7 linked regions of the Macaca fascicularis genome follow. The protein of the gene in region 5 purifies or fractionates together with the protein of the main gene of each other region. This does not show direct contact. Links are inferred from orthologs where the notes say so. Each region holds a gene or a part of one and is shown on either strand. Other genes may lie near its edges. The genes, in order: IKBKB, ARRB2, KDR, MET, SRC, ARRB1 and STAT1.

Evidence for each region.
Region 1: the proteins of SRC (region 5) and IKBKB purify together in Homo sapiens (affinity purification with western blotting; 3 studies listed by BioGRID and IntAct, with this or other methods). This does not show direct contact. The link is inferred for Macaca fascicularis from reciprocal best matches to the Homo sapiens genes SRC and IKBKB.
Region 2: the proteins of SRC (region 5) and ARRB2 purify together in Homo sapiens (affinity purification with western blotting; 4 studies listed by BioGRID and IntAct, with this or other methods). This does not show direct contact. The link is inferred for Macaca fascicularis from reciprocal best matches to the Homo sapiens genes SRC and ARRB2.
Region 3: the proteins of SRC (region 5) and KDR purify together in Homo sapiens (co-immunoprecipitation; 5 studies listed by BioGRID and IntAct, with this or other methods). This does not show direct contact. The link is inferred for Macaca fascicularis from reciprocal best matches to the Homo sapiens genes SRC and KDR.
Region 4: the proteins of SRC (region 5) and MET purify together in Homo sapiens (co-immunoprecipitation; 4 studies listed by BioGRID and IntAct, with this or other methods). This does not show direct contact. The link is inferred for Macaca fascicularis from reciprocal best matches to the Homo sapiens genes SRC and MET.
Region 6: the proteins of SRC (region 5) and ARRB1 purify together in Homo sapiens (affinity purification with western blotting; 3 studies listed by BioGRID and IntAct, with this or other methods). This does not show direct contact. The link is inferred for Macaca fascicularis from reciprocal best matches to the Homo sapiens genes SRC and ARRB1.
Region 7: the proteins of SRC (region 5) and STAT1 purify together in Homo sapiens (affinity purification with western blotting; 3 studies listed by BioGRID). This does not show direct contact. The link is inferred for Macaca fascicularis from reciprocal best matches to the Homo sapiens genes SRC and STAT1.

Annotation. Positions count from the first base shown.
Region 1 is NC_088382.1:45,830,133-45,833,632, reverse strand, and holds part of IKBKB (inhibitor of nuclear factor kappa-B kinase subunit beta), read right to left. Parts: intron 2,692-3,500; coding exon 2,562-2,691; intron 2,192-2,561; coding exon 1,997-2,191; intron 1,255-1,996; coding exon 1,140-1,254; intron 353-1,139; coding exon 229-352; intron 1-228.
Region 2 is NC_088390.1:4,804,851-4,808,949, forward strand, and holds the start of ARRB2 (beta-arrestin-2), read left to right. Parts: upstream 1-1,299; 5' UTR 1,300-1,322; coding exon 1,323-1,456; intron 1,457-4,099. UniProt on the Homo sapiens protein: Functions in regulating agonist-mediated G-protein coupled receptor (GPCR) signaling by mediating both receptor desensitization and resensitization processes.
Region 3 is NC_088379.1:78,783,092-78,786,591, reverse strand, and holds part of KDR (vascular endothelial growth factor receptor 2), read right to left. Parts: intron 3,270-3,500; coding exon 3,139-3,269; intron 2,901-3,138; coding exon 2,732-2,900; intron 2,115-2,731; coding exon 1,975-2,114; intron 1,321-1,974; coding exon 1,143-1,320; intron 1-1,142. UniProt on the Homo sapiens protein: Tyrosine-protein kinase that acts as a cell-surface receptor for VEGFA, VEGFC and VEGFD. Plays an essential role in the regulation of angiogenesis, vascular development, vascular permeability, and embryonic hematopoiesis.
Region 4 is NC_088377.1:158,137,298-158,141,494, reverse strand, and holds the start of MET (hepatocyte growth factor receptor), read right to left. Parts: upstream 2,801-4,197; 5' UTR 2,382-2,800; intron 1-2,381. UniProt on the Homo sapiens protein: Receptor tyrosine kinase that transduces signals from the extracellular matrix into the cytoplasm by binding to hepatocyte growth factor/HGF ligand. Regulates many physiological processes including proliferation, scattering, morphogenesis and survival.
Region 5 is NC_088384.1:93,496,231-93,499,730, reverse strand, and holds part of SRC (proto-oncogene tyrosine-protein kinase Src), read right to left. Parts: intron 2,368-3,500; coding exon 2,268-2,367; intron 2,000-2,267; coding exon 1,982-1,999; intron 1-1,981. UniProt on the Homo sapiens protein: Non-receptor protein tyrosine kinase which is activated following engagement of many different classes of cellular receptors including immune response receptors, integrins and other adhesion receptors, receptor protein tyrosine kinases, G protein-coupled receptors as well as cytokine receptors.
Region 6 is NC_088388.1:74,139,767-74,143,266, reverse strand, and holds part of ARRB1 (beta-arrestin-1), read left to right. Parts: intron 1-85; coding exon 86-221; intron 222-1,384; coding exon 1,385-1,469; intron 1,470-1,920; coding exon 1,921-1,993; intron 1,994-3,500. UniProt on the Homo sapiens protein: Functions in regulating agonist-mediated G-protein coupled receptor (GPCR) signaling by mediating both receptor desensitization and resensitization processes.
Region 7 is NC_088386.1:86,671,598-86,675,097, forward strand, and holds part of STAT1 (signal transducer and activator of transcription 1-alpha/beta), read right to left. Parts: intron 1,065-3,500; coding exon 879-1,064; intron 1-878. UniProt on the Homo sapiens protein: Signal transducer and transcription activator that mediates cellular responses to interferons (IFNs), cytokine KITLG/SCF and other cytokines and other growth factors.

The sequences.
Region 1 (3,500 bases), on a different chromosome or scaffold from region 5:
GTTCCATACTCCTCGCCCTGGGCCGACCACACTCACCTCATCAGGTCTAAAGGGGCCTGCCTCAGTCCAGCCCACCCAACTGCTTCCCGTCTGTCCAAACCAGTGTCTCCCTTTTGTTGCTCATTAACAGTTGCTTCTGGGTCCCTGCCTCAGCCACCTCCCTGTGGCCAAAGCCACCAAGCAATTTTAAATAAATTAAGTTTAAAAAAAAAAAGCCTGGCACACTACATGGCGGCTCGCTGTCCCTGCTGCAGCCGGTTGCAATCCTCCTTTAGGGTCTGGATGCTGTGCCAGACCTGGCCCCACACCTTCCTCAGCTGGAAGAAGGCGAGGTTCCTCTTGGGCTCTTGAACTGGAGACAAAGACAGAGGCAATTGTCAAAAAATAACCACAATAACTCTCCTACAATTAACCACATCCTGCCTTCAACACTGCTGGCACTTTCACGTTTTATACCTACTATAGGATCATGTAACTTTGGAGGGTGTTATGCCTGGTTACTGTCACATACATGTATTTGTACCAACAGCATGTACCAGTGGTCAATAAGTAGCTGTTGATTTGAAGAAACACTTTATGAACCATTTGGACACATATGTATATAGGGTCATATATTTTCAATAGAATTTTTTTTTTTTTTTTTTTTAAGAGACAAGGTCTCACTCTTGTCACCCAGGCTGGCATGCAGTGGGAGTGATCATGACTCACTGCAGCCTTGAATTCTCAGGCTCAAGTGATCCTTCTGCCTCAGCCTCCTGAATAGCTGGACTACAGGCATGCACCACAACATCTGGCTAATTTCTAAATTTTTTGTAGAGATGAGAGCTTACTATATTACCCAGGCTGGTCTTGAACTCCTGGGCTCAAGCGATCCTCCTGCCTCAGCCTCCCAAAGTCCTGGGATTACAGGCGTGAGCCACCATGCCCAGCCTAGGAGGTTGAAATTCACTAATGGTTTCCTGTACTGTCTCTTGCCTGGCTACTCTCTGCATGTCCTAAATAAGGAAGGCTGCCCCGAGGACTGGCGATACTAATTTCCTTCATGTGGCTCCCCTTTCCTTAGTCCAGTCTCCCTCCCCTGCCTTGTCCCACATATTATAACTGATTATTTAGAAAAACAAAACAAAACAAATTCTTACGGATACAGCTGACACTTTCAGGTTGGGGCCGTGGGGAGATCTGAGTCTCATAGGTGATTTTACTGTTGTCAAAGAGAAAAACAAGATCCATGTCCAATGTGCGGCCCTCATTTAACTGCAAAGGGACAAGAACAAAATGAATCTTGTGGATCCAATCCTCTCTTTTCTAATAATGAAGAGGTTCCAGAGCTTTCCCCACTGTTTGGCAAGAGCATCATCTTCAGCCAGCAAGTACGAAGCATACATGAAGTCTTTCTCCCAACGTTTCCAGCCTACACTTACTGTTGGAACACACTCCTTATTTACAAACTTATTACATTCTATTTTACTGTCATCCCTGTGAAGTTCAGAAATTCACTATATACTTCCCTATGCAATGATTATTTCTCATATGATAACTTTATCTCCACAAGTCAGGTGAGAAGCTCTTTTTGAGCAGAGGCCATGTCTTACACGGCTATAGTTAACACAGGTGCCTAACACAGAGGCCATCATAAATAGTTTCAGTTGACTCAAGACAGTGCAGCATCTTTTTTTTTTTTTTTTTTTTTAAGTATACTTGGAAGAGGGCCAAGCTGGCAACTTGAGCGATTCAAGTACTACCGCATCATTTTTTGCAATAAAGGCAAGAGAACGGTCTTGGAGGGTCTGGAAGTAACAAGTCCAGCAAGGAGATTTGTGTTTCCTATCAGGCCACACAGAGGACACCATACTCCAACTTAAACACCAGGCAGGTATCCACACTGTATGATAAACAGACTACATGACAAAGCAGAATTGAAATCTGAAGGTGTGTTGAGTTTCCCAAGAGGCACAGCCAAGGGAAACAGGGTGGTGTGTACGAAGCCAGGGCTTACCTTGCCATCTGAGATACACTGAGTGGCAGGTTTATCGGGGATCAACGCCAGGCCCGCTTCCTGCAGCAGCTCCTGGTCCTCCTCTGGGATGCCCGTGTCCTGCTGGATTCTGGCCTTCAAGCTCTGCAGACTCTCGTCCTCTGTCACAGGGTAGGTGTGGATGGTGCCTGTGACCATGTTCAAGATATGAACCAGCTGCAACACAACCCAGATGTTACTGGAAAACCAATTTCTTCAAGGAGATGCGCATCTATTTGCCTAGGTCCTCTCTCTGCTACTCCCAACATTTCCCAACCACACAAAGCAACGGCCTGGCTTGACGGAGGGAGGTCAGGTGCCATGTTTCGCATATTTTCGTCTTTCATAATCCTGTCTGTGGCTATGACCTCATAGCCAATGTCAAATAGCACAACTGTCCTTTCTTTACTTATGCAGAAAGACTGATGCAGGAGCCTAAACTTTCTCACTAAGTCAGCTGGCCCCATCCCCTGCTCTATCCTAAGAAGTGCATGCTCCGCTGGGGACCCCAGCTTTTGCCTCAGGGCTAACTTGGCTCCATGCTCACCTTTAAGTTTAAGATGTCATCCAGGGCCTTGAAGCAGCCATTGGGCCCATACGTGGGATCTGTGCCCCTCTGTCGGGGATGCCACATCAGCATCAGTTGCAGCCACTTCTCCAGTCGCTCAGCCAGGACGCTGTGGAGAGGAGCAGAGTGTGTGAGGAGACACTTCCAGCCAATGTTGGGCTACAGTGTGTGTCTCCCAGTATATGCACAGATGGCAGCCAACAGATGGTGATTGAAAATGAAAATGGGTTTATCAGAAACAGTATAGACATTTCCAATCAATTATTCAGGTGTTCACACCTCTCTCCTGAATTCTAAAATACCCTGAAATCAGAGATTCCTGACCTCCAAATAGCTGCATAAGAATGACCCATGAAGGCCAGGCACAGTGGCTCATGCCTGTAATCCCAGCACTTTGGGAGGCCAAGGCAGGTGGATCACTTGAGGTCAGGAGTTTGAGACCAGCCCGGCCAACATGGTGAAACCCCATCTCGACTAAAAATACAAAAATCAGCCGGGCATGGTGGTGCGCGCCTGTAATCCCAGCTACTCAGGAGGCTGAGGCAGGAGAATCAGTTGAACCTGGGAGGCAAAGGTTGCAGTGAGCCGAGATTGTGCCACACTGCACCCTAGCCTGGGTGACAGAGGGAGACTGTCTCAAAAAAAAAAAAAGAAAGAAAAAGAATGACTCATGAGGTTTTTAAAATACACTTTATAAGCACATCCTAGCTCAGGTGACCCCTACAGAATCTAGATCCCACGCTGCCAGATGTAGTGGTTCACATGACAAACTCCAAGCTCCTTCCCCTGGCCCTGCAGAGCCTGCCTCCTGTGAGCACTCAAACCCTTTCCTGAGGCCAAGACAGCTACCCACCACCTCCCAAACGTGCCTTGCTCACTTTAATCTTTCCCCTTAGAATTTCCTTCCTCCTTCCTCTT
Region 2 (4,099 bases), on a different chromosome or scaffold from region 5:
AACACGAGGTCAGGCATTTGAGACCAGCAAGGCCAACGTGATGAAACCTTGTCTCTATTAAAAATATGAAAAGTAGCTAGGCATTGTGGCAGGCGCCTGTAATCCCAGCTACTCGGGAGGCTGAGCAGAGAAGTGCTTGAACCTGGGAGGCGGAGGTTGCAGTGAGCCGAGATCGCGCCACTGCACTCCAGCCGGGGCAACAGAGCGAGACTCTATCTCAAAAAAAAGAAAACGAAAAAAAACTTCTGCACATCCTTCAGAAAGACTGTCCTCATATGTTCTCCGCTCCACCCCCGCCCGGGCCGAGCGCTGTTAGTGGCTGTGTCTTCTGACTCAGACCTCTGTAATAGCATTCCTGGGTAATACCTGTGTATGTGTCTCCTCAACTATTCTAGGAAGTCAGGGGCCATGGTAATTCATATGTGTCCCCATCGATTGGCATAGTAAATAGCATAAAATAGGCACGGATGGGTGGGTCGATAGATGGACCGATGGGTGCGAGCGAGTGAGTGAGTGGATGTTAGCTGGGATGGGTGGGTGAAGGAGATGGAGAGTCAGAGACATTGGAAAAGGGAACCCTGCGAAAATCAAATGTAGACACCAGGAGGAGCTGACACGCTGCGGTGAAGAAGCGGGAGGGCTGGCCACAGAAGGCGGTACGCTCCGCGTGGAGCAGGTGAGCTGCGCGCACTGAAGCAAGTATCACGCAATTGAACTGCTCACCCACGTGTTCCCCCCCACCATCCTCCTTCCCAGACGGCGCTTCAGCTCATTCCACCGCCCCCAACAGCCCGGTCGCCCCCACCGCCACTGAGAAAGCAAACAAAGGGGAGGAGACCCCTAAAGGTTCTGGATGCCGAGGGCCAATCGAAAGACTTAGATCCCCTGGAAGGCGGGAGCCTTGGTTTAGGGGGGCCCAATCGGTTTCAAGGGGTTGCGGCGGGGCGGGGAGATGGGCGGGAAGAGCGGGAGCGGGCCCCGCGCGCGGGGGAGGGCTCCCCGGCTGGGACGGAACGCGAAGGGTTGGGGGCGGAGCCAATGGCCCTGTGTGTCTGCTAGGAGAGGGCGGGCAGCGCCGCGGCGCGCGCGATCCGGCTGACGCATCTGGCCCCGGTTCCCCCAGACCAGAGCCGGGCCGGGAGGGAGGGGGAAGAGGCGAGAGCGCGGAGGGCGCGCGTGCGCATTGGCGCGGGGAGGAGCAGGGATCTTGGCAGCGGGCGAGGAGGCTGCGAGCGAGCCGCGAACCGAGCGGGCGGCGGGCGCGCGCACCATGGGGGAGAAACCCGGGACCAGGTAAGGGAGGTGGGGCCACGCGGCGGGGCATGGGCGGCGGCTCGGGGCGGGGGCTGGGACGGTCCCAGACGAGGACGCCGCGGAGAGGATCTGGGGGCCGGACGCCTGGGTCCCTAGGGACAGCCATCCGGGGCCGCACGCGCAGGTCCTCGAGGATAATGAGGTTGGGGGGAAATGCCCGGGCCCCTGCAGAAAGCGAGGCCGGAGGGGGATCAGAAAAACCGGTGTCGGGGTTCTCTCAGGGATGTGGGGCCAGACTACTGGGCTCTCCCGTGCCCAGGAGTCTGGGCAGGCTGCGATGCAGGGACGGAGGGAGGAGCAGGTGGCTGGCCCCGAGGGGTCGTGTACGGGGAGGCTGGATGCTGGGAGGGGGATCCCCTCCAGACTCGTGCCAAGCCAATGCAAAGCCTCCTGTCCAATATCCCCCAGGTAGTCGCGCTGCCCACACCTGTCCCGAGGGCCGGGTGGCTCCTCATCCAAACTTCTACCTTCCCCTGGGTTGCCAGGAGCAACAACAGCTTCATCTTGGGAGAGCCTGACCCTTCCTGAAACTAGATCGGATCCCTCTCCCTGGGGGTGGGGGAGGCAGTATTCACGCTGGGCGCGCGTCCACTCCCCGGATGTTTTCTGTGCAATCGAGGCTCTTTCCTTCCACTGATACCCCGAGTTCTCTTTTTTGGTCTCTAGCAAAATCCACTTCCTGTTGTGACTCAACACCCCCAAGGGGTAAGGGGTGAATGCCTGAGTCCCAGGGGAGCAGGAGCAAAAGACAGAAAGGTTGGGGCTGTAGGCCTCAACCCAGAGGGGATCGGGAATAGGGAATTGGTCCTGAGCTCTGGCTTGCTCTGCAAAGCATCATATCGACCCCACTTCCAACCTATAGAGTAGGAGAACCCAGGTTTCTGAGCGTCAAGTAGATGAGTATCAGAAAGAGATCATCAGAGAGATGATCGGTGTCCTGGATTAGGGTTTAAACATCCCAGAGAAAGGGGAAGTTGCTGCCTTGTGGGAGGCCCCTGATTTCCGTTATGTGGTTCAAGGAGTGGGACAGATGGACCAAAGGGGACTGCTGACTTGACCCAATTTCCCTCACCTCCATCAAATTCTGGGCCACAGGAAATGGAGAGAATAGCAGGAAGTGTGAAAGGACATCTGCTTCAGCTACCCCTGCCCCCATTGGGCACCTCCCTGGTCATCCCCACACTCTGCCTCCTTGGCCAGCCTAGTATCTGCACGCTGCTCCTCCTCAGCCTGGCAGGAGGTGGCTGGGTTAGGATCCAAAGGGCAGGTGCCTTGCAGCTGCTCCAGGGCAGTTGCCCCAGAGCCACACTGCAGTTGGCCCACTGACTGTGGCTGTCACAGCCCTGTGCCAGGGCTCCTAATGGGAGGACACCCTGGGACAAAGAGGAAAACCAGAAGCAAAGGGGAGGGAGAGCCTGGATGATGCCACAGCACTCAGCCCCCAAGTTGGGACAAAAGATAGGATGTTTATTCTAGCTGCCACCGTATCGATGTTTATTCTCTTTTATTGGTTAGGAATACCTGGGAGCCTCCATACCCTTTACCTTATAATCTTTGGACAGCTTGGCTTTCTGGGAAGAAGGGACAAGTGAAGTTGTAGCAGAAACTGGGCCTATGGTAGAAACCATTTAGGGCCAAAGGCCAGAGTCATTGCTCTCCTATATGCTCCAGCTGTCAGAGCTGTAGACCAGATGGAAAGATGGTTAAGTCTTACCCAGATACTGCGGCAACCTGCCCATTGGGGTCCTCTGGGAATGGGGTGGTAGAGTTGGAGGAGGGATGGGCTAGTTGGCAGGATTTCACGTTCTGCTGTCTATCTGAGGATCCTTTCCAGGGATCACTGCTGAGGCAGAGTGGATTGGAAGGAGTAAGGTGATGCTTCAAAGAATAGGCTCACAATTGGCCAGATCACTGGGATTGCCAAACACTTCCTTACCCTCCCAGCAGTGGGTGGAGTCCAGGCTTAAATTGTTTCAGCAACTGGAAAGCGAATACCCTTCAATTGAACAAACTATTGATGCCAGCTACAGAGACGGATAGTGTAATATTGATTGAGAGGATGGACTCGGAGCCAGACCGCCTTGGTTTCTATTAATTCCCACCATTTACTCTCTCTGTGACCTTAAAACACTTAACCTCTCTCTGCCTCAGTTTCCTCACCTGGAAAATAGAGACATTAGGACCTCCATCACTGGGTAGTTTTATTTTATTTTATTTTTTATTTATTTATTTATTTGAAATGGAGTCTTGCTCTGTCACCCAGGCTGGAGTGCAGTGACGCAATCTTGGCTCACTGCAACCTAAGGCCGGGCGTGGTGGCTCACGCCTGTAATCCCAGCACTTTGGGAGGCTGAGGCGGGTGCATCACCTGAGGTCAGGAGTTGGAGATCAGCCTGGCCAACTTGGGGAAACCTTGTCTCTACTAAAAAACTACAAAATACAGGCCAGACGCCGTGGCTCAAGCCCGTAATCCCAGCCCTTTGGGAGGCTGAGGCGGGCGGATCACTTGAGGTCAGGAGTTCGAGATCAGCCTGGCCAACATAGGGAAACCCCATCTATACTAAAAATATAAAAATTAGCAGCCAGGCGCAGTGGCTCACACCTGTAATCCCAGCACTTTGGGAGGCCAAGACTGGCGGATCACGAGGTCAGGAGATGAAGACCGTCCTGGCTAACACAGTGAAACCCCGTCTCTACTAAAAATACAAAAAATTAGCCGGGCGTGGTGGTGGGCACCTGTAGTCCTAGCTACTTGGGAGGCTGAGGCAGGAGAATGGCATGAACC
Region 3 (3,500 bases), on a different chromosome or scaffold from region 5:
TTGACCCTTAAACAACATAAATTTGAACTACATGAGTCCACTTATAAGCAGATTTTCTTCCACCTCTGTCACCCCTGAGACAGCAAAACCACTCCCTTCTCTTCCCACTTTTCCTCAGCCTTCTCAATGTGAAGACAAGGATGGAGACCTTTATGATGATCCACTTACACTTAATGAGCAGTAAATATATTTTCTCTTCCTTATGATCTTCTTAATAACATTTTCTTTTCTCTAGCTTTATTATAAGAATACGGTATATAATACATATAACATATGAAATATGTGTTAATTGACTGTTTATGTAGCAGTAAGGCTTCCAGTCAACAGTAGGTCATTATTTACATTTGGTGGAAGTCAAAAGTTATACCTTGAATTTTTTTTTTTTTTTTTTTTTTTTTTGAGAAGGCGTTTTGCTCTTGTTGCCCAGGCTGGGGTGCAATGGCACAATCTCGGCTCACTGCAACCTCCGCCTCCTGGGTTCAAGCAATTCTTCTGCCTCAGCCTCCTGAGTAGCTGGGATTACAAGCTCCCACCACCACGCCAGGCTAATTTTTTGGATTTTTAGTAGAGATGGGGTTTCACCATTTTGACCAGGCGGTTTTGAACTCCTGACCTCAGGTGATCCACCCACCTCCACCTCCCAGGGTTCTGGGATTACAGGTGTGAGCCACCACGCCAGGCCTATACATGGATTTTTGACTGCAGAGGGAGGGTCAGTTCCCCTAACCCCTGAATTGTTCACAGGTCCAACTATATATTGCTAAATGTTTCCCCAGTTTGCAAAGCTCATGCTTATTCAGGTAGGCCTCTCAGCCTTATAATAAAACAAAAATTTAAAAACTACCCTAGCTAATACTATTTATCATAGTAATAATCCTAATAGCAGCAACAACTATAATAAGTAATACTAAGTGAGCTCTTAGTATATATCAGCACATCTCATCTTTAAAGTTGAAGTTTGAACTCAAGTTCCTGACTACAAAGCTACGCTCTTGACCTCTAGGTCATGTGGCCTCCCTAACAAGAAGAACTAGGAAGTATCTTCTGAATGAACAAACTAGGAATCACTAAGTGACCTAAATTTATTTAAACTATCTCACTTGTCAAGGCACAGAATAATTTCCAAGGAGACCATAACTTACCATGGACCCTGACAAATGTGCTGTTCTTCTTGGTCATCAGCCCACTGGACGCTGCACAGGTGTACAATCCTTGGTCACTCCGGGTTACACCATCTATAGTTAAGGTGCTCAAAAATTTCTTCATCTCACTCCCAGACTGGGTTTTTAGATCTCGGTTTACAAGTTTCTTATGCTGATGCTGAAAAAAGAGTTGACTGAACTTCCAAAGCACAGCATATAACATTACCCAATAACTTCTAGTAACACAGAGAATTAAATCTTGGCCTTTGGTAAACATTATTTAATGCTAATAACAGGGACACCAGAACTTTTAACCTCATGCAGCCAATGATGTATTTGGTTTCAGGAGAAATAAATGGAACCAACTGAATTAGGATTTTTAAAACCTCACATGGCGAAAATGAGATGGATATAAACTGCAGAAACACAAGTAAATGTGACCACTGTTTAAGGAGCAGAGTATCTCGTGCCACCTCTTAAAGAGAAATTCCCTTAAAAGGAATGTAGATCAAAAACTTTGGAGAAAAGAGAAATGACATAATGTGGAAAGATGTAATCACCTAGAGAAAACTAATATTCATAGACTGGCTGTTGCAGAACAGGACAAAATTCCTGGTATTTCACCTTTTTGTGGGTGCTATCTGTTCTGCAATTCCCTTAACTTGTGTGTGTGTGTGTGTGTGTGTGTGTGTGTGTGTGTGTGTGTGTGTGTGTGTGTGTTCTAAGACTTTTAAATTTTATCTGGCCAAAGAGGCCCCTATCTCTCAAGCAAACTTCATTGGGTCTTATTATCTAAGTATTTGGAGGTCTGGCTTTGAATCATTAGTGTTACCTTCGAAGAAGGGTATTCCCAGTTGAAGTCAATCCCCACATTTAGTTCAGTTCTTGCTGTACAATTTAAGACAAGCTTCTCTCCAACAGATAGTTCAACTCCATGAGACGGACTCAGAACCACATCATAAATCCTATACCCTAGAGCAAGTAAATTGAAAAAACAGAACATGAGAGAGAAAATAAGCCTATAACTTTGCACAAATTTATTTTTTAAAGTAATGCAACTTTAAAACACACCACATTGTTTTTCCCTGCAGGCCTCACCAATACTTGGTAGCTCCCAGAAAAATGGCCAACAGAGATTTACAAAGCACTACCTTCACAGATCTCAAAGATGTTGTAACCCAGTGGATAGAAAAGTAGCAAAATTTCAGTGGTCAGTAGCCCTAGGCCAGTAGGGCCAGCTTTAGCAAACTGCTGAAGTTTCCATAAAATAGGTATAATTGAAATAATTGATAGCAAGCAATGCTCCGAACATTGAGCATAAATGAGCTCCAGTAATACCATTCATTTTCATCCTTTTTTAAAAAAAAATTTCTTTTTCATCCTTGATCTTGGCAAGAAAAGAGACAACCTCAATTGCACATGGGTTTATTTGGTAGAGAAGAGCAGATGAATTGCCCAACACCATATCCTGAGTTCCTATACTTTTCAATATCCTTCTTCACTGTACATCGTTATCTCCAAGATCTTAATACAAGGAGTTACTCTCTACTATCTGTTATTAATGATATGGAAAGGAACTTTCCTCTTACCTACAACCACAACTATGTACATAATAGACTGGTAACTTTCATCATTAATTTTTGCTTCACAGAAGACCATGCCAGCATAGCTGATCATATAGCTGGGAATAGTAAAGCCCTTCTTGCTGTCCCAGGAAATTCTGTTACCATCAGGAACAAATCTCTTTTCTGGGTACCTCTGGGTAATAAAAAGAAATACCAAATATTTAATCCAGTACCAAAAATGAGAGCCATGTACAATGATCACTGAAGAATTCATCTTATTTTTAAGAATACTAATTAGTTTTATTCAGTGTATTTCGCCCTTCGTAAAGGATCCTGAAAACTCATTGTGAATATTATAAACAGGCTACCCGTCTTACTATTCGCTTAAAAATATAAAAACTTAAGAGACGATTGGAGGAGATGCAACTTACTGCACAAAGTGACACGTTGAGATTTGAAATGGACCCGAGACATGGAATCACCACAGTTTTGTTTTTGTTCTCAGTAATGTACACGACTCCATGTTGGTCACTAACAGAAGCAATAAATGGAGATCTGTAATCTAGAAGAAAATTTAGTTTTATTAATGAGTTAATGGTATTTACTAGAAAAGTTGGTCATTTTTCAGGTTCCTAAACTCTAACCAGACAAGTGAATGACTGGAAGTGACACCTCACACAAGCAAAGGCATCCATAGCTTATTCTACTGATAGACATCTGGCTCCAAGACATCTGGCTCCACACTTGGATGGGGGTGTATGTGTGTGTGTGTGCGCACACATGCACGTGTATG
Region 4 (4,197 bases), on a different chromosome or scaffold from region 5:
TCTCCCCTTAAGAGGGCACAATGAGGAAATTGAGTATCCCATGAATAAACACAGCAGAACAAGGAAATCTTAGGGATTTAGACCATGGAAAAGAAAGCGTAGATGGCTCTGGTGAGAATCACTAAGCCTAATGCCTAAAGAAGAAACCAGCAAACTGGGCTGGAGAAATGGGGGCACAGAAGGCCTTGAAAGCAGCTCTGACCAAACCAAAGGAAAAGGTTGAGTAGGAAGAGGACAGAGAAATGGGAGGTAATCCGAATGTGTGAGGAACTGTGCTCACCATGGGGGTGTCATCACGTCCTTGGTGCAGCCACTTGGAGAAAATGAGCCAGTTAGAGGATATTAGCCCCTCTGAGTTATTCACCTTGTTTTGAGATGACCACATTTGAGAAAAAGTGTATTTGAGACTATTATGTAGTTCTGCAGAAGGATAATTAGACTAATGCTATTTCAAACGCTATTTTCACAACAGCTAAGGAAATTGAGTTTTGAAATGTATTTCTTAGTTTAGCCTTCATTCAGACAAAATTTTTTTAAAGACTTCAAGATTAATGCAAGGCATATACTTACATAGTCTTAAAAGGAATTTATAAAATATGGGTATTTCTCCTGCTTAGCAAAGGGTCATTTTTCTCTATTATAGGTTTAAAAGTAGTGAAAATATTAGTTATGAGCTTTCATATTGACTGGCTGTGATTAATCTGCTACATTTTTATCATGAAGATAAACTCCATCCACTAATTTTGAAAGCATGTAGTATACATCTGATGTAAACCCCTATTGCCATGTATCAAGAACAAAGCAATTTTGAAAAAGCAGTAGTCGGTAGACCATCTTCTATATGCCACAAATTCCATCATGTTAAAAGCAAAACATATTTAAGTTAATAACTATAGCTTATGCACCATTAAGTTTGAAAACTGAATAGAATTTTTAAAACACCAGCACATTTTATAGGCTATCAGACACATTTTTCGTACTACAAAAATTTCTTATGAATGATGTAAATTTTCCCTCTGTTATTCAGCAGTTTAAAAAGAATGAACATTGAATACACCACAGACTTGCAAATGATAGGAACCAAAGTACCTCACTTATGTTCCATTATGGAAGTTTACATGTTCAAAACAAAGCTCAATTAGCTTAAAACAAGCAAGGAAAGCTATGTACCTGTAAATAATCCAAGCACCACTTACACTATTTACATAAAAATGCAATTTATGTCCTTGTAGCACATAGAAACACGATGTACATCATTTTCAGATCATCTTCATGCAGAAAAAATTCATTAGTCAGCTATAATAGTTTAGCTGTAAGGGGATATAATGTTTTTCTGAATCTATTTGCATGGCAATGTGCATGTGTCTGGCTGATGGAAGCGACAGAATAAACCTCCACCCAAAGCTACAGAATGTGAACAGTCTTCTTAAAATTCAAGAGAGGGTCCAGATAGTCTATATTGCCTCCAACGTCAGTTTTTACAATCCTCTCACATCCATGGACCATCTTAACATAGCAATTAAAGTATCTTGATTATTTTGCCTAAGAGAGTTGACAATATTTCATTCTGCCCGAGGGCTCCTTTGAACATAAAACTGTGATAAGGTAAAATACACTGGGCAACTATTCATGCGTGAGCCACTGGAGCCCTCTCCAACTGCCAAATTAGCAAATGGCTCTTTTAAAACATGAAAGATATGAATGGGAAACCGTACTTGGGAGTAAATTCTGCATTGACAATAGTCAGGGAAAGTACTTTCACTGGTGCTTTAATTATCGGGTCAGCACTACGACTGGCCACATTGCCCAGCCTCTGGTTATAATCTATTTCACCTAATAAGATAGATGTCCTCCACAAGCCCCAGAAAGAGATAAGGTACGATGGAAAATTGATGGATCACAAGCCCCGCGTGATTGCCAGAAATGAATTCAGACTTTCACAGAAACACCTACCCCTTGGAAGGACCCCAGCATAACACAGATAAAGCAAGGCTGGGAACAAGGAAACAGCTAGGCTCAAACCTTGCGGGCTGCATCACGGTGGGACGAGGATGACCGGATCCTTTTTGTAAGGGCTGAGTCAGATCCCAGCTTTAAAACTTGCTGGGCCATAACAGTCATACATTACCCACTGTCCCAGTGCCCCTCTCCCTCCTAAGTCATACAGGTGGCCATCAGAGGCAACACCCTAAAACGACAAGCCCCATTCTAGTTTCGTCCTCCCCTGGCCACGTCTCTTCAGTTTCCGAAGCCCGTAAACTCTAGCCCACCTCCGTGGTTTTCCCCCTGGAACAGCAGTCAGGTCTCTTAGGGGAACAAAGAAAGCAGAACCGCTGGGGCGAGGGCTGGGGTGCGGGATTTGAAAGGGGCTGCAGTTTTACCTTGCGGTGCCCAGGAACCAGTGGAGAAGTCAGCGGCGCAAGGACCACCCGCGCGCTCCGCGCCTCCCCGCCTCCTCGAAGCAAGTCAGCTGTCGCCCCGCATCTGGCTCGCGCCCTCCACTCGGCTCTGCATCTGCTCACAAAGCGCTCCGGGCGCCGCGGGCGGCGAGGGCCTCCGGGTCACCTGCGGCCGGGCCGAGCCCAGCGCCCCGCCCGCCCGCTCGCCGGCCGCGCTCCCTCCGCCCCTTCCCACACGCGCGCTGCCCTGCCAGTGACTCAGCCGGGCATCGGCGCGCGCGGCCCGTGGCGGCCCGGGCGCGTTGGGGCCGGAGGCACCGCCAGGCGACCAGACCGAGGCGCTCGCCTGCCCGCCCCAGCACGTGTACGTCTGCCTCGCGCGCTGTCCGTCCGCCTAGTCCGCGGGTTCCGAGGACCGCTGAGGTGGGGATTGGCACCACCCAGAGGGAAATCGGCCCCCGCCCTTCCTGCCGTCCGCGCCGCGCCTGGCCCCGCGGGGGTCGCGTTTCCTGCCGCCTCTGCCCCGCCCACGACAAGGTGAAACTTTCTAGGTGGAGAAGTTTTCTCGCCCTGGCTGCGCGCTCTCCTCCCCCAGCTCAGGCAGACTGAAGTTAGCACAGCCGGAGATAAGCGGGACCGAGACTCCCCCTCCTGGCGCTTGGGAGGCGAGTGTCACCCCGGGCGCAGAGGCAGGGCGCGCACCCTCCTGGCACTCCGCTCGCTGACCCCGGGAAGGGCGCGAGCTCTGCTCTCCGCTTCTCCCACGTCTCCGCTAACCGCCCCGCGCCCACCCGAGTATAGAGAGATTTGGGCACCGCAGACACACTGTTAGAGGCGGCGGTAGAAGTGGATGGATGAATTGTCCCAATGATTTCATTATGCAACGATTATCCTCTACTGTAATAACTCAGATTTCTGCAAGGAAGAACAACAGAGGAGTTTAACCACGAGGAGACTTCCATTTCTTTTTCTTTTTCTTTTTTTCATAGCCAGAAGCAGACTGATTAAATAACTGGGCAAATAGCGATGAACAAGCAAAATAGAACAAAAGTTTAATTCTTGAATGTTGAAGTCTTACGATGATTTTTAAAACAGAGCTTTTGGGGCCTTGGTGTACTCTATTAGGTGTAATTGTGTTGGGATAACTTTATATTTCGCTATAAAAATTGACACCTACAATAGTAAATGAACACTCAAAGGTAGTAGGATCTAAGGAACGGGCATTGCTGGTTAGGACTTGAATTCGTTCCGGCTCTTATATGGGCCTGTTCAAGCATCTCACACGGGCTTGTTCAATCATGGTAATAGATAATGAGACATAGATCTCTTCGTTATTGAAAGTCATGGGTTAAAATAACAGTTACTATGCAGGTTCAGGTCTTATTTACTACAGAATGGAAGATAGAAAAATACAGTGAGAATAGTTATCATTTCCCAAGTGCCAGGCATTACCAGAAGTTACATAAGAGTGATTTCAATCTTCAAAAGAGATTATCTCGTGATTCCCCAGTTTTATGGAAAAGGAAAGTTCCCGTTACGTTACTATTGAATTGAACCATTTGCAGGTAAAGAAACTGAGTCCCTAAGAGTTCCCGGAAGAGTCACACATCTGGTTAGTAAGAGGGGCAAGGTTAGAACTTAGCTCTCAGCCCAGTCAGGTGTCCTTCACACCATACCAAGAGGCCTCCGCTGGCTAAATAAACAATGCGACCTGACTGGAGATTTCCTGATACTGCATGGCATAATTTATCAATGACTACAGCTCATTTAAAACAAAAACAAAAACAAAAACAAAAAA
Region 5 (3,500 bases):
TCTGACGTCTAAGTGAAGGAACATTGGAGCACTGTGATATGAGGAGGGGCTCCCAATCCACCCACCCCCATCTCCCAGTCTACCCAGGGTCTTCCCTGAATGAGATTCCATCACTTCCAGGCCTCCTGGCAGCCCCAGCCTCCTGGCCAAACCTCCCCCAGCGCACCCCCCCCGGAAGGCAAGAAGAGTGGAGGGAAAGGGCTGGAAAAAGGCAAGCATGGGGCTGCCCTCTGACTCCAGGTGAAAAAGGCAGAACCAAAGTTATCCAAGCCCTTCCTGCCTCCACACCTCTGCCCCAGCTGTCACCCAGTCTGAGACGCTTGGTAGAGACTCCACCAGGACTTCAAAGCCATCCTGCTGGCGCCCCTCCCCTGCACAGGCCCCTCCCGCCTGTGGCCTCTGCTGCACCTCCACTGAGCCTTTCTGAAAGGACCATGGGTCGGAGGGCCAGCCTAGTCTTCCAGCTCTGCCACTACTAGCCATGTGACCTTGGGCAAGTCATTTCACCTCTCTGGGCCTCAGCTTCCTCATCTGTAAAATGGTGCAAGTAAGACTTCCCATTTCTCAAGGCTATGGTGATGCATAAATAAAATAATGCGAATTCAAGCACTCAGCAGGCTCACATAGAGAGCACAAGAAATGGTGACTTTGTCACTGCTGTTCATTCATCCTGTTCACCATCACCTGCTGGGCACCCGCCACTGTGCTGAGTTACAGGTGCTATGGGGACCCAGAAGTGAGGTGCACCAGAGAGCTGCCCTCCAGCAGCTCCCAGTTTAGGGGGGAAGCAGACACAAACAGCTGGTGACAATAAGAAAACTGTAGCTTCGCACCAGGACTCTGCCATGCAAGGGGGGAGGGGGAGCTGGGAGAGCCCCTCCCCTCCACGCACCCCCCCTCCCCCGCCGCCAAGAGCAGCTTGAGGAGGGCAGAAAGTTGCTGCTTCAGTTCCAGTCCTGGCTTTGCTACTTGGCAGCTGTGTGACCTTGGACAAGGACCTTCACATCGCTGAGCCTCAGTTTCCTCATCTGCAAAATGGAGACAGCCCCTCCCCGATCACTTCAACCCTGGCTAGACTGCAGAGAGGAGTCAATACGAGGACACGGGTGGAGACGACTGGCATGGCAACTGGCACCTCTGTTCCCTTTTGCCCCCTGAGAAGGCAGTCCTGCACTGATCTTGAGCCATGAACAGGAGTTCTCCAGGCAGACACCGGAGAAAGGGCATTTCAGGCAAAGGGAAGAGCATGCGCAAGGCAAGTAAGTGGGGTATGAGCAAGCCAGACACGCTCGGGGCAGTGGAAACCCCCAACTTCCTTAGCCAGGCCTTCGAGGACACCCAGGGATCGATTCTCCTCCGCCCTCTAGAACCTCTCTGCCTCTCACACCCGCGAAGGCGTCAGCCCCCTCCAGCCCGGCCCCCTCCCACAAGCTGCCCTTCCACCACTGCCACCTGCCAGAGAACTTCACTGGCTTTCCTTTGAGGCCCTTGACCCTCCCAATCCCTGTGGTCATCACCAGAGACAGGCCCACAGCAGGGGCTCCAGGAGCTGACTCTGGGCTCGTCCACTGCCTGACTCTTGGCCTGGACTGGGGCCATGGGCTGTCTCCCTGGCCACATGCTGGCTCCAGGAGGGCGTGGCCAAGGCCTTCTCCACCCAGGCCATCCCAGTCACAGCACTGGGTCCTGCATGCAGCGGACACTTGGGTGGGCTGACGGGGCAGAATGGGAGGGTGAGTGAGTAGGAAGGTGGATGGGGAGGAGGTGTGCAGGAGAGTGCAACGGAGGGGCCCCTGATCACAGCCTGGGGTTAAGGTCCAGGACCTAATCAATTGGTGGGGGGGAGAGGAGAAGCTGGGAGGTGAGGAGCAGCCAAGAGAGCCAGAGATCACAGGCAGGGAGTGGAAGCACATGCAGACAGCAGCCCCCACCCCCCGCAAAGCACCCTGCCCAGCCCGCTGCCCACAGAGCATGTACACACCTGACATCCACCTTCCTCCTAAGGGCCAGCAAGAGAGAAGCAGAGAGAGGGAGAAGCTGAGAGAGGGCTGGAGGGAGCAAGCAAGAGCCAGGGATTGGGAGGAGTTCCCCACGGCTGGGGGAGCGACAGCAGGTGCTGCCCAGGGCGAGAGTGCAGCAAGCGCCCGGCTCCGCACTGCCCTGGGCTCCGCACTGCGCTGCCCTGATGCCAGATCCTGCATGAGCCCCTGCCCGCATTGAAGTCCCACCACCCAGCCCTGACGGGCAGTAGGGAAGGGGGCACTCACGTGTTGTTGACAATCTGGAGCCGCTCGCCTTTCTTGAAGGACAGGTCTGTCTCCGTCCTAGACTCATAGTCATAGAGGGCCACAAAGGTGGTCACTCCACCTGCAGAGAGGGGTGGGGTATGTCAGAATGGTGGAGCCACACCCAGGGAAGGCGTGGGCAGGAGGGCCCTGTGCCCAGGAGGAGTGGGGATTTGTCTCCCACACACCACAAGCGCCCAGCCCAAAGACACGGTCAGGTTCAGTGAAGATGGGCCTGTGCATGTGTCCACTGCATCCGTGTGTCTGCACATCCCTGCAAGGGCATGTGGGAGCGGGAGCATCCCTTCCTGTCCGTGTCCGCCCCCAGGGCTTTGGGCAGTGCTGGGTCCCGGCTTATCTGTTTGGTGCCTGTCTTACTCTAGGACCAGAAGTCCCCAATAACAAGCATCTTTGTTTTGTTTCCAGAGCCAGGCACATAGTAGGTGCTCAAGAAAGAGCTGTAGGCTGAACAAAGCGGTGAATGAAGAACACTGCCCCAGGAAGACTTGCTCTCTCTCCGTAAAGTGTGTCACTCTGGGCGCTCCTGGTGTCCAGGAAGATTCGGCTCCAAGTAACTGTCCCCTCAAAAAGGCCCCCGTACCCCCTTCCACCATTTTAAGCTACAGCCTCCACCTCCACACATCCCCCAGCCCTCCCTCCCTGCCTGTTTTGTGTCTTGGCCGCAGCGCCACTTCTAACGCCCTCCACAAGCTGCCCTGTGCTTCCTTCCCCCAGGTGGGTTCCGTCTGCCCAGTAGAGGAGCCCCGGCCGGTAGTAGGAGCTCCATATATACTTCTTGAACAAATGAATGGTGTGTCCGTGGATCTGTTTCTCTCTCGGGCGTGCGTCTGCATCTGAGGGGTCCAGCCCTGTCCGTGTGTCTCTGAGTGTTCGCATGTTCTCGATGCACCCGTGTGCATCTGTCGTCTGGGCGGCCACGATGGTGACTTCCAGCTGAGCATGTGTCTGTGTCTTGTGTGTGTCTTTGAATGCGCGTCTGACGGCATGCGCGTGTGTCTTCATCTACAAGTGTGACGTCACCTGTGCATGTATGTGAGTTTGTATCTGGGTACATCTGCGTTGGGGATGTGTCCGCGGGTGTCTGTGACCCTGTCTCCACTCCGCATGTGTGCGTGTCCCGGGCAGGGGTGTAGCCGTGTGTGTGGCCCAGCGTGTGAGTGTGGAGAGAGTGCACGGGTCTGAGTGAAGTCTGCG
Region 6 (3,500 bases), on a different chromosome or scaffold from region 5:
AGCAGGAGAATGATGTGAGGCTTGCAAGGAGAGGGGATGAAGGCAGGTGACCCTGGTCCTCTTTCACTCCATCCATCCCCATTAGGAATTCTGTGCGTCTGGTCATCCGGAAGGTTCAATATGCCCCAGAGAGGCCTGGCCCCCAGCCCACAGCCGAGACCACCAGGCAGTTCCTCATGTCGGACAAGCCCTTGCACCTAGAGGCCTCCCTGGATAAGGAGGTAGGAGGCTTGAACTGGGCAGGGGGTGGGGGCTGCTCCACTAGGACCTGGGCCTCAGATCCCAGCTCTCTCCTGGCCTGCAGGGATGCCTCAGGTAGGAGCTTCTACCCCCAGCCCAAGGACCACAGGGCTCAGGGAATCTGAGACCTCTCCTGGGGGATTTGGAGAAGTCTCTTGGGCCTAAAGGAATGGCAGAGGGGGCGTGAACTTGAGGGATGTGATGGACTTCAGAAGGGAGGAGCAGACCCTCCCGAAGGTCCTGGACATCTCCCCCACACCTCCACCAGCTGCCTGCTTCAGGCCGAGTGCTGAAGGTCAACCAGCATTGCAGAGGGGGTACGGTGGGGGGCTGTGACCTCCCTGCCAAACCCTGAGCATCGGGGCGACAAGCCCTGCTGAAGGAAGGGCCTCCCCTCAAGCTCTGAATCAAACCCAGATGACTGATGCCTGCTGTGAGCTCGGGCTAGCCCCTCCTCAACGTGTGGGCACCCCCCCTCTCTTGGGGCATGGCTGAAGGGAAGTGCCTTGGGGCAAGATGCAGGTTGAGGCCTTTTTGTGGGGATTCAGAGCTGGCTCCCTCAGTGAGCTGGTCAGCCCCTCCTCACCTTTCCCTGCTTCTTCCAGATCCTTCCATGGACAGAATTTAGAGCTGGCAGGGACTTCAGATATCACCTAGTCCAACCCCTTCATTGCACAGAGGGAGACTCTGAGGCTTAACCTACCCACGGTCACACTGCTTTCATCATCGTCAGTGTTATTGTTGTTATTGTTGTCACGATTACTGGTGGCCAAGCCAGGGCTGGAGCCCAGGACTATCACCTTCCAATTCCATTATCTTTCAAGGGTCCCACCAGGGAACTGAAGGCTAATGTGCTTGGTGGCTTTCATGCCACCTTAGCAGCAGTGGGAAGTGGCTGATGAACTTGGGGCAAATGTCACAATGCCTTGGGGGATTCAGAGAAATCTCTTGGGCCTAAAGGAGTGGCAGAGGGGGCATGAACCTGAGGGATGTGATGGACTTCAGAAGGGAGCAGCAGACCCTTCTGAAGGTCTGCCCAAGGTCTGGGGAACCCCAGAAGATCGCGTGGGGGCTTTTCTCCCTCCCCTTTCCCTAGGACCTTGCTGTCCGCCCAGCCAACCCCATCCCTTCTTATGCCCCCCAGATCTATTACCATGGAGAACCCATCAGTGTCAACGTCCACGTCACCAACAACACCAACAAGACGGTGAAGAAGATCAAGATCTCAGGTACCCCAGGCAGAGGGTCAGCTTAGGGGACAGCAAGAGGCAGTCTTCCCAAGGGCTGGGAGTGGCCGAAGGATCTCCCCTTGTTAACAGCCTTGTATAAAAAATAGCCACTGAAGCCTGGGGCCTGCTCTGAGCCACAGGGCAAAGCTTTTGAGTCGGGTAAGGCAGGCTGCTTATTGGCCAGGTAATGAGCTTGCTCTTTAAGCCACCTCTTCAGTTTCTTGGGTTCTGGGCAAAGCTGTCCTTGAGGGGAAGGCTTTGGTTATGGAAGGAAAGGGATGTGTTTGGGGCTACCCTTTGGATGGAAGACAGGGGTGGTCTCATGCAGAAGTCCCCACTGGTGGCCTCTGGCCATTGCCTGGGGCTGAATATCCCCAACCCGGGACGCCTGTGAGACTCCATGGGAGCTGCATTCCTGACTCACTCCACCTCGATTCCTCTCCCTCCTTAGTGCGCCAGTATGCAGACATCTGCCTTTTCAACACAGCTCAGTACAAGTGCCCTGTTGCCATGGAAGAGGCTGAGTAAGTGGGCACAAGTCTGGCCTTGGGCGTGTGGGATTCGGTGGGAAAAAGAGAAGCTCTAGGTGTCCCGTTACAGGTCCAGGTGGCTCTTCTCCACCTGGCAGAGGGCTGGGCCTCAGACTTCCTTGCCATTCAGAGTAGATGATCCCGAAGAGCCTTTTAGAAACCATCCACCTGATTTATCTACAAGAAAATGCATGCTACAGTCAAGGAAGAGACCCACTAAAACTAGAACGACAAAACAAGAGCTAATGAATGTAAGGGGATTGGGGTTGTGGAGAGAAGATAATTACGTTGTACAAGAAACCTAGGTTGAAGGGAAATACTTTGTTCTTGAACTTTCTGGTAGCCAGGGCAAAGTGGGTAAGGCACTAGGTACACAGCTCTTGTTTGATAAAGGGGTAATCCAGCTCATTGGGTGAAAGAGGTTGTGTGGGGGACAATCCAGGTTTGAGGAGAACTACTATGGTTGAGCATGGACTGAACTTTGTCCCAAGCTTGTTGGCAGCTGAGGCAAGAGGAGAGATCTCAAGTGAAACATCTTTACTTGCCTAAAGGAAGTAAATGCTCCCATTCAAAGACACACACATTTTTTTTCCCCCCCTGGCCCTGCAAGTAATTTCTTGGAGCAATTACACCCGATATAATTTTACATGTATATGTGTATTTGTTTATATATAATTCCAATCAGTATTTCTTGCAACTTAAAACTTTTTTTTTTTTTTTTTTTTGAGACGGAGTCTCACTCTGTCACCCAGGCTGGAGTGCAGTGGCCGGATTTCAGCTCACTGCAAGCTCCGCCTCCCGGGTTCCCGCCATTCTCCTGCCTCAGCCTCCCGAGTAGCTGGGACTACAGGCGCCCGCCACCTCGCCCGGCTAGTTTTTTTTTCGTATTTTTAGTAGAGACGGGGTTTCACCGTGTTAGCCAGGATGGTCTCGATCTCCTGATCTCGTGATCCGCCCGTCTCGGCCTCCCAAAGTGCTGGGATTACAGGCTTGAGCCACCGCGCCCGGCCAACTTAAAACATTTTTTAAATGTTACTACATGGCCTTTGAAATAGTTTTTAATGTCCTATAGGTGAACATGCTATGATTAGATCAAGCATTCTCTGGTTATTGGATATTTTTCATATCCACTGTTGATTTTTTCAAAAAAATCAGAGCTATGAGGCATAGATTCCTGATGGTAAAGTGAAATGATCTAGAACCAGAGTAACGTATAATCCCTAAAGAGTAGAAAATCGCAACCACTGCAGATGGTGCCAGCGTCTGCATAACGAATACCAGCAGGGATGGCTGGGGAGGCATTTGCATTCACAGACTTGTTTACTTCTCAGGAAGCACTGTGGGGCTGGGGTTGCTGCTGCCCCAGTGTGTAGAGGAGGAAGTGGCTCAGAGAGATGTGACTTGCAAGCTAGCAAGCAGCAAAGCTGGGGTTGGAACACAGCTCGTCTGACTCCAAGGCTTGTTCACTATCTGCTGCATGACAGCTCTCTCATTGGAAAGG
Region 7 (3,500 bases), on a different chromosome or scaffold from region 5:
GAACATCAACTTTTCGGGGGGATTAAAGTTCTACTGTGCTTCTAGGCAGCCTAGCATCCTAAAACTTTAAGGGGCTATAACCTCCCTGCCTGAGTCACCTAAAATTCTAGTGGGAATGCATAGGCAATGAGAAGAAAAGGGCAGATTTCAGCAGGACACTAGCTAGGAGCTTTCTCTTTACACAACTTGAATTCTTACAAGAAGTTGGAGCCCAAAATATGCAAAGTTCTATCTAGTTTATTGGCATTAGCCTGGCTAATGAATCTTCATAGCTGTCAAGGTAAGCTGGGGGCATCTTCATTCCAAAGTAATTGTCCTAATATTGAGATTTCTGATTCTGAAAAACAGCTTTGTTGGTGTGTTCCAAACAAAACAGGTCTAATTTGAACTTTCTCAAATGCAATTCATTGACAACTGAGAAGCAAGAGACCTGTGTTCTCAGATGAGGCCTCCTCTTAATAATTACGTTAAAAAAATAGGATCTAGTAAGTAATTGGGCCACCCTAAACGAACCACTTCACTTCTCCCAGGCCTCAGTTTCCTCAACTTTAATGTGAGCAAGATGCCTTCCATTGGTTGGCCACAGTTCCTTATTCTTTACCCCTTTTCATGTGGAAACAGTGATAGTAACAAATACACAAGACCAGCAATGGACTTTTCCAACATTCCTAAAATAGGAAATTGTCCATTCATTTTTTACTAGCTGTATCAGGCCAAATAATGCATTATGTTTCACCTGCACTGAGTTTATACCATCTTTTGAAAGCCTACTCTTACCAATTCAAAAGCAAAACACCACATGGGTGGAGTTTGAGAATAACCACCCCCTCATCAGGAAGGACTGTGCCACGCTGTTACCACCCGCTTGCCCCACTTACCTTCCTTTGGCCTGGAGTAATACTTTCCAAAGGCATGGTCTTTGTCAATATTTGGATACAAAAACTTCAGGGGATTCTCAGGAATATTCTCAGCAGCCATGACTTTGTAATTGCGAATGATGTCAGGGAAAGTAACAGCAGAAAGTTCTTTCTTCGTGTAGGGTTCAACCGCATGGAAGTAAGGTTCTAAAAAGGAAAAAAGCTAAGTGAATCCCGTAGAATATCCCAAAATGAAAGAGGACAGAGAAATAAAACACTGCAGAGTTGATGGATTTGAGTGAACCTCATAAGAACTAATCCCAATCTAAGCGTTACAACACACATAATAGACTGCTTTATTTCTAAATAAATTATAATACTGTCTCAGGGAAAATAAAGGGAGGTACTATTCTCAATAACATTCTATTTGCCATTATTTGCTTAGATTTATAAATCTGGGCAAAAAAGATTTACTAAAAACCTTTAAAAGCCTGCATCTTCAACAATGTGCTGCCCATAGGCACATAAATAACTCACTACTAAGTGGGTCATCTTGGCTTAAGCCATAGATTTAAATTATTAAAGATAAACTCACTTTCTGTTTTTCTTTTCATATTGAAAAATCTAATTTTGTATTAAAATAAATGATGATATATAGAAAACACTTTGAAATTAAAAAAAGATCCTATTTCCTACATTTCCCTGTAACCCTTAATGTAAAAACCATGGTTTAATTTACTCCCATTCTTATTCCCACACCAAATTCAGATCCTTCTTCCTAGCTGATACAGAATCTCCCTTTGGGTGTCCACCTTCCAGAGGCCACGGTTCAGGTGCTCTGGGGAGCCTGCTGTGGAACATGAGACTATGCTGCTATCCTAACCCTTCCTGGCTGGTACTGTCCTGCTTGACCTTTTCTGGTTGCCAAGGGTTTTCTTCATCTCTGCTTGGTCTGCTAGCTCTGTCTCTCGGCTAGTTCAGGAAGGGAACAGGGTAAGAGGAAAAGGGCAGGTTCCAATGACTACTGCCCATGCCAGACTCTCGTCTCAGCCTCCCTGCTTTTTCCTCAGAAGAAAAACAGAACAAGAAGAGTATTCCAGAAAAACAAATAGAACAAGAAGAGTATTCCAAAAAAATAAATATAACAAGAAGACTATTCCAGAAAAATAAATAGAAGAGTATTCCACAAAAATAAACAGAAGAGTATTCCAGAAAAATAAATAGAACAAGAGTATTCCAGAAAAACAAACAGAACAAGAAGAGTAATCCAGAAAAATAAATAGAACAAGAAAGAATAGTATTCCAGAAAAATAAATATAAGAAGATATTCCAGAAAAATAAATAGAAGAAGGGTATTCCAGAAAAATAAATAGAACAAGAAGAGTATTCCAGAAAAACAAACAGAACAAAAGTATTCCAGAAAAATAAATAGAACAAGTGTATTCCACAAAAATAGAATACATTCCAGAAAAACAAATAGAACAAGAGAATTCCAGAAAAATAAATAGAACAAGAGTATTCCAGAAAAATAAACAGAACAAGAGTATTCCAGAAAAATAAATAGAACAAGAGTATTCCAGAAAAATAGAATATATTCCAGAAAAACAAATAAAGCAAGAGTATTCCAGAAAAACAAACAGAACAAGAAGAGTACGGCAGAAAAACAAATAGGAGTATTCCAGAAAAATAGGAAAAGAGGAATATTTCAGAAAAATAAATAGAACAAGAAGAATATTCCATTTTGTGTCTACCCACTTAAAGTATAAAAATTACTGAAACAGGCTGGGCACGGTGGCTCAATCCTGTAATTCCAGCACTTTGGGAGGCCAAGACGGGCGGATCACGAGGTCAAGAGATCCAGACCATCCGGGCTAACATGGTGAAACCCCATCTCTACTAAAAAAAATACAAAAACCTAGCTGGGCAAGGTGGCGAGCACCTGTAGTCCCAGCTACCTGGGAGGCTGAGGCAGGAGAACGGCGTAAATCCGGGAGGCGGAGCTTGCAGTGAGCTGAGATACAGCCACTGCACTCCAGCCTGGGTGACAAAGTGAGACTCTGTCTCAACAACAACAACAAAAAAAAAAAAAAAAAAAAAGATTACTGAAACAAATCAGTTTTTCCTCCTGCCCTTCAAATAGACCAAACTCTGAACAACAGTGAAAAGTCATTAGTTGGTCTTCATGATTTTTTCATTTATGCTGTTGAGCTTCACCCTCAGAAACCTGCTTCATAACATCAAGGTTTCTGGAGTCTTTTAGCCATGGACTCATTTGATTAGATAGAAACCCAATATATGATAAAGATAAATTTGCAGCTGCTCTGTTTGAAGGCAGGGTAGAGGCTGCCACTCGTCCCAACAGGCCCTGCATCAACTCCCTGGCTAATGATGTGTACGAAGTCTTCTCCCGAAGCCTGTCCTCACTGCACACTCTACTCTGGGATGACCCTAAGAGAATCTGGACGCTTACTCCTGTGGGAAATGTGATTCCTTCCAAGAACGGGTTGCAGATTATATTGACTCACATCCTTGATCTGCAGATAACGAACCTGATGCAAAGGAAGGAACTGGCCTTGTCTTTTCAAGACCATCATTTCCACAATATGTTCCAGAGAGTGAACCACAGATATTTGTGGTAGTTTA